Linked DNA regions of Macaca mulatta. The protein of the gene in region 2 binds, or shares a complex with, the protein of the main gene of each other region. Links are inferred from orthologs where the notes say so. Each region holds a gene or a part of one and is shown on either strand. Other genes may lie near its edges.

What was found.
Region 1: the proteins of APOBEC3F (region 2) and CBFB are in contact, whole or in part, in a cryo-EM structure (PDB 6NIL), measured with the Homo sapiens proteins. The link is inferred for Macaca mulatta from reciprocal best matches to the Homo sapiens genes APOBEC3F and CBFB. Residues at the interface, in NP_660341.2 of Homo sapiens: Glu289, Leu291, Ala292, Arg293, His294, Ser295, Asn296, Glu324; in NP_001746.1 of Homo sapiens: Phe32, Asp34, Arg35, Arg43, Glu54.

What each region holds. Positions count from the first base shown.
Region 1 is NC_133425.1:62,604,048-62,607,601, reverse strand, and holds part of CBFB (core-binding factor subunit beta), read right to left. Parts: intron 1,428-3,554; coding exon 1,311-1,427; exon of another isoform or gene 877-1,310; intron 694-876; exon of another isoform or gene 1-693. UniProt on the Homo sapiens protein: Forms the heterodimeric complex core-binding factor (CBF) with RUNX family proteins (RUNX1, RUNX2, and RUNX3).
Region 2 is NC_133415.1:12,514,888-12,518,441, forward strand, and holds part of APOBEC3F (DNA dC->dU-editing enzyme APOBEC-3F), read right to left. Parts: intron 3,059-3,554; coding exon of another isoform or gene 2,747-3,058; exon of another isoform or gene 2,599-2,746; intron 2,176-2,598; coding exon 1,896-2,175; intron 1,690-1,895; coding exon 1,575-1,689; intron 1-1,574.

The DNA of each region.
Region 1 (3,554 bases), on a different chromosome or scaffold from region 2:
AGGTTTTACACAAACACCTTGAGCCAGCAGACTTCCACCTTTTGTCACTGGACTTGTGTGTGGCTTGGGGAAATGCTTTCAAAGTTCAGGGAGTTTGTCAGTCTATTTTGTGTTCACCCAGGGAAAAGTAGCATGCAAGGGCCTTCTGTGTTCTCTTCAGAGCAGATGTAGCCTTGTACGTGCATACAGCTTTCTGGATGACATGAGTGTAATCTTACTAGGGTCTACTTTACCTATCTCTTTCCCTGAATCTCCCTGATAAATTTCTGGCTGGTCTGCCATTTCGTTGCTTTCTGCAACATTAGCTTTGCCAGATTGTTTGCAAATGAGACCTCTATCATTTTAAACAATATGCCTGGGCATGGATTTTTTTTTCCCAAGCCCTACTTTTAATAAAGTCAGCTCTCTTTGGCAGGACAACAGATCTACCAGTGCTCATGGCTTACCCTGCCTGCCCAGGAAGAACTTGAGGGACCACACAGCTGGGGAATGGGAGCAGCTCCTGACTAAAATGCCACAGTCACTGATCTTACTGAGATTCAATAGCTTCCATGAGGCCTTAAATGGGTGTGGTTTGTTGTTGTTGTTTTTGAGACAGACTTTTGTTCTGTTGCCCAGCCTGGAGTGCACTGGCACCATCTTGGCTCACCGCAATCTCTGCCTCCTGGGTTCGAGCGATTCTTGTGCCTCAACCTCCCAAGCAGCTGGGATTACAGGTGTGTACCACACCTGGATAATTTTTATATTTTTAGTAGAGACGGGGTTTCACCATGTTGGCCAGGCTGGTCTTGAAATCCTGACCTCAAGTCTCAGGTGATCTGTCTGCCTTGGCCTCCCAAAGTACTGGGATTATAGGTGTGAGCCACCATGTCCAGCTCTTTTTTTTTTTTTTTTTAAACAATTTTTGTCAAGTTGTATCATTGCTTTCTGGGGAGAGGACTTGTTGAGCTCCTCACTCAAGCATTCCAAAAGCGCGGCTCCTACATTTTATTTTGAACTGCTTTTTCTTTTTTCCCTATTCATAATATTCTAGAGATCAAGAACAAATATTTTAAAGAACTACTTACTGGACTTTGGAGCCCCCCACTGAGCAGATACCAATAACCCATGAAATTTAGAACTGCTAAAGAAAAAAGTTTCCCAAAATCAGGATCAGAATTTGAGTCTCAACATTTTCAGGATTCCTCAATATTGCTTCGACATAATACTTTCTATACTTAAAGATTGGGTAAAATAGGTCCCCAGACAAAGGCAAGATTAGGGACTACAAATAAAGGGACCATGCTCAATAAAGCCTGACGTCACCCTACCTGGGCTCGCTCCTCATCAAACTCCAGACAGCCCATACCATCCAGTCTCTGGAGATCAATCCAGCCTTTCCAGATAACACAGACTCCATTCAGAATCATGGGAGCCTTCAAATACACCTAAGACACAGAAAAGGACGAAAATCATTGAAAAGCATCAGACACATGAAAATAAAAAGATTAAACTTACTTATATAAACTCTGTAGAAAAGATGAATAAAATTATGATTGATTGATTGATTGATTGACTGAGATGGAGTTTCGCTGTGCTCCCCAGGCTGGAATGCAGTGCCACGATCTCAATTCACTGCAACCTCTGCCTCCCAGGTTCAAGCAATTCTCCCGCCTCAGACTCCCCCCAAGTAGCTGGGATTACAGGCGCTCAAGCACCATGCGTGGCTAATTTTTTTTTTTTTTTTGGTATTTTTAGTAGAGATGGGGTTTCACCATGTTGCCCAGGCTGGTCTCGAACTCCTGAGCTAGGCAATCCGCCCGCCTTGGCCTCCGAAAGTGCTAGGATTACAGGCATGAGCTACCACGCCTGGCCAGACACTTTGATTTTTGAATGTTGGGTAGAAAGATGGGAAACAATTGGAAGCCACCACCCGCTGAAGAGAGCATGCACTGCTTCCCTCAACGTGGGTTCCTGGAGCCATGCAGGATCAGGCTCTTGATATTCCCTTCAGTTTTATAAGCTATCTCATAGATTCCTGATAATTAATCTTTTTTTCTTTTTATTTTTTTGTCTTGTTAGCCAGAGTTGATTTCTACTGCTTTTAACCAAAGAACTTGAACTGGTTAAATCACGTTAAGTAGTATGTGGTTATCTTTAGGTGTCCATAAATAATTCGGAACAAAACACTGCTATCCTTTATATGGGATTATGAAATTTAATTCAAGTTATTTCACAGTCTTTTATTTATTATTTTTTACTTTTCCCAATATGCAACAGTAAGCTGAATCAGTCTTTTAAATACAGTAGAAAAGTTATAAAGTCACAGGGTTTGACTACATGTAGTATGAATCATTGATCTCGAAACTGGTAAGTTAACCCAAAATCTACTTCTTTCAATTCCCTGTTGAAATTCTTAAATACTATAACAAAATCAACTAAGACAATAAGGCTAGGCACCAGTGGCTAATGCCTGTTATCCCAGTACTTTGTGAGGCCAAGGTGTGAGGATCACTTGAGGCCAGGAGTTCAAGACCTGCCTGGGCAACATAGAGAGACCTCACCTCTAAAAAGTTAAAAAATAAAAATAACAAAATGAATAAACTTAACCAAGCATCTTGAATTCTTAATGGAAATGTGTTTATTCCTTACACATAATACCTTTAGATAAGAAAATTAGCCAGACTTCCTATTGTTTCACATCCAACAAGTATATATGCTTATACATTAGAGAAATATCAAAAATGAGTATCCTAGGATATGGTAACATCTCAAGTCACTGACAAATATGTTCACTATACTTTATACACTGAGGTTTAAAAAAGTACCAACAAATTTTAAAAAGATCTTCAAAATTGCTGAAACCAAAAGTATCTCCCATCTGGTGAACCTTCAGCTTTATGATAAAACTCCTACATCCTGGCTAGGTGCAGTGGCTCACACCTGTAATCCCAATACTTCGGGAGGCCAAGGCGGGCGAATCACCTGAAGTCAGGAGTTTGAGACCAGCCTGGCCAACACGGCAAAACCCCATCTCTACTGAAAATACAAAAATTAGCCAGGCATGGTTGCAACCACAGCTATAATCCCAGCTACTCAGGAGGCTGAGGCAAGAGAACCACTTGAATTCGGGAGGCGGAGAGTGCAGTGAGCTGAGATAGTGCCACTGCACTCCAGTCTGGGTGACAGTGGAAACACAAAAAAAAAGAGAGAGGAAAAAAAAAAGAAAGAAAACTTCTGTTTCACATTTTAACTTTTCTTCTGGAAAAACAAAAAACAAACACACACAAAAAAAGTTTCTTCACCATTCTTTTTCAAGTAAATAACTCTAGATTAAAAATTGCTTTAGGTATACATCATACCCAAATTTAGATCATTTTGATCACCAAATTAATTCTCATATTGGCTCAAAATACAATTGTTCCCAAGAGTATCCACCCAGAAAGGATGGTGCTAATTCTATTATCCTGAGGTGAATATTTTATTGTGATAAACAATATAAGAGAAATTTATTACAGTTTCTACAATCTTTCCACTCCTAATACTACACCATTCTAATAGTTACTTTTAAAAAC
Region 2 (3,554 bases):
TGAGCTCCTTCCTTCCACATCTCCTGCCTAGAGTTGTTCCCTGGCTGGCTGAGCTCCTGTCTATATGTGATGAAAGGGCAGAGCTTGGTGTCCCTGGCCACCCTGTCTTGCAGTTTGCTCTTCCGGTCTAAGACCCAGGTGCTTAGTTCCCGTCTCTCCCAAGGGCCTTAGATGATCTCTTTCTATGGCCTGTCTGGTCCCTGGTTGCCTTTTTCTATTGTGCTTCCTGGAAGGTTCCTGGCATCTCAAGCCTCCCGTTATCCAAGCCTACGCTTTTGTAAAATCTCACTCAACACCTGGCCAACACTGCAAAATCCCATCTCTACTAAAGATACAAATATTAGCCAGTGTGGTGACATGTGCTTGTAATCCCAGGTACTTGGGAGGTTGAGACAAGAGAATTGCTAGAACCTGGGAAGCAGAGGTTGCAGTGAGCCGAGATCGCACCACAGCACTCCAGCCTGGGCGACTGAGGGAGAGGCTGTCTCAAAAAAAAAAAAAAAAAATTTATTCACATGGGACCTTGATCACTGAGTGTTTGGCTCTTTCTGCATCTCCATCCTGTGGGGAGGATTTGAGAAGTGACGGGTGTGAGCAGGAGGCCGCGCTGCGTGCTGTTGGGTGGGGAAGCCATGGGGTGCGGCCCAGGGTGCAGCAAGGTCTGAAGGGAGGTGCTGTGAGGGTCAGGACAGGACTCCTGGGAGACAGACACACAGAACGGAGATCCCTGCACACACCACCCAAGCTTGACCCAAAGCCCCCTGGGTCGTTGTCATGGGCTAAATTGTATCTTCCCAACATTGATATGTTGAAGTCCTCATCCCACCTCCTCACAGGATAACTGTATTTGGAGACAGGTCCACTAAAGTGGTGGTTAAATTAACTCATGGTCCTTAGGGTGGGCCCTAATCCTGTCTGACTGGGGACCATAAACAAGGAGGACATTTAGAGGCAGATAGACCCTAGGGTTGCAGGTGCACAGAGGAACGGCCAGAGAGGACAGGGCCAGGAGGAGCGGCCGCAGAGGACACAGCCCCGCCCACCCCTCCACCCTGGACTTGCAGCCTCCAGATCTGTGAGAAAATAAATGCCGGCCCTGTGGGCACCCGGCCCAGGCCATCTTCTATGGCAGCCGAAGCCTGAAGCTCTGTTCCCACAGTGGCGGCTCCTTCTCAAGGGCTCAGGTCAGCCTTGAAGGATGTTGCTCAAAGCTTCTGGCTGTCGAGCTTGTGAATATTCATACCCACTTACGTCCACTGTTATGACAAATTCGGTTATGCCAGGGAGATGGAAGGAGCCAGGTTGGGGATCCCAGGCTGTGGGGAGGGCGGCCTCGGGGGTGGATGGAGGTCACTCTGGAGGCCAAAGGGGCCTCTCACTCACAGGAGGGGCCCAGGAAAGCAGGGAGGAGGCAGGGAGGTGGAGGAAACACGAGGAGTTGGGGTGAGGGGGTGTAACTATGAGGGCAGGCAGGGGGCAGAAGGGAGGGCAGGAGGGCCTGGCCAGGGGAGGCCTCAGGAGGATGAGCAGGAGGTGAGAGGAGAGAGACCATGAGGCCAGAGGGAGACCCTCACCTGAGAATCTCCTTTAGCTTGTGGTGCAGGAATGCATAATTGTCATCGAATTTGTCCCAAGGCATGAATGACTGACCTTCATTGTACACAAAGTTTTCCCAGCAGTATGCAAATTCTGAGATGAAGAGGAGGGAAGCAGTCAGGCTCTCCCCGACCCTGGTCCTGCCCTCCCAGGCCTGCTCTCCTGGCTGTCAGTTGTGGTCAGCCCTGGCCCTGCCCCTGTAGGTTGCCCTGGGACGCCCCCTGCCACGGCATTGCAGATCCATCCATCTCTCATGCTGTTCCTCCCGCTCACGCTCCCCTGACCCCTCCTCCTCTCACCTTCAGAGTCCATGATCTTCACTCGGGCCCCTGCCTGACGCAGCCTGCAGAGCGCCCTGCGATAATCTGTTTCCCAGTAGTAGTAGAGGCGGGCGGCAGAGATGGTCAGGGTGACATTAGGGTGCTCAGCTAGGAATTCGGCCACCTTCGCCACACAGTCTGGGCAGGGGGTCCAGGATACAAACCAGGTGATCTGGAAGCGCTTGTAAGCAGGCAGCTGGTTGCCACAGAACCGAGAGAGGAAGCACATTTCTGCGTGGTGCTCAGGCTTGGAATACACCTGGGAGAGGAGCAGGGGCAGGGGATGCTCTGAGAGGGGGAGCAGGAGGAGAGGGCAGGGTTGGGGCAGTGGGAGGAGGGGCCAGGACAGGAGTCCAGGGGATCTTGCCACTGAAGCTCCTTTCCTCCATCCCCCTGATTAGTTTGAGTGATTGTCTGCTCCAAAGCTCATGTTCAGTGTTAATTGCTATGGTAATGGCCTTAACCATAACCATTACCATTAACCATTAAGAGGTGGCACATACAAGCGGCTATGAGGTTGTGGGGACTCCACCTTTGTGGGTGCCACTGCTGTGGTTATTCAAGGGCGACTTTAGTCCCACTTTCTGTCTCTTGCCCACTAGCTGGAGGGGCAGTGTGTAAGATTAAACTCCTGCTTCCTCTTGTCCCCGTGGCATGGAGCAGCAGTGACCCGACATCCCAGGCCACTCTGGCTGGAGCATCCCCGACCTTCTGGCAACAACCTTCACCCCCACGTGACTGTGCAGCTCGCAGGCCCTGGAAAGTCGCTGGTGCCTTGACAGTGGATTTCCCAGCGTCCAGAACTCGAGCCAGCACATTTCTATTCATTGTCAATGTCTCCGTCTCAGTCCTGCTGTTGAAGCATCACAAGGTGCACCAAGACACGTGCTTCCCTTCGTTTGGGAGTTTTCCCAGCCCTGTTCACGGCCTCGTGCGTGAATTCTGGCATCCATTCTCCCAGGCATCCATTCACCAGGCATCCTCAGCCCCTGCTGTGGCCTGGCCCTCTGGGGTCTGCCTTGTTCCCTCCCTGCCATCTGCTGGAGAAGCCACTGGACTTGTGCTCTCCCATGTGGTGGGGGGCACTGGGCAAGGGGGTTACTGAGCACTTGAAATGGGGCTCTGATGAGAGACCTGGGCACCTGAAAAATACATTATACACCGCTCATTTCTCTTTTTGTTGTTGTTGTTGAGACATGGTTTCACTCTTGTTGCCCAGGCTGGAGTGCAATGATGCAATCTCAACTCACCATAACCTCTGCCTCATGGGTTCAAGCGATTCTCCTGCCTCAGCCTCCCAAGTAGCTGGGATTACAGATGACTGCCACCACGCTTGGCTAATTTTTTTGTATTTTTAGTAGAGACGGGATTTCACCATGTTGGCCATGCTGGTTTTCGAACATCTGACCTCAGGTGATCCACTGGCCTCAGCCTCCGAAAGTGCTGGGATACAGGCGCCAGCCACCCCACTAGCATGGCTTACACGGCTCATTTCAAAGACTCAGCATGACAAGAAAAAGAAACTTCACTATCTTGTCAAGAATTTTATGTTAAATAATCTTGAAGTAATGTTAGCGACATTGGATTGAATAAAATATTAAAAATAGGCCGGCACTGTGGCTCACACTTATAATCCCA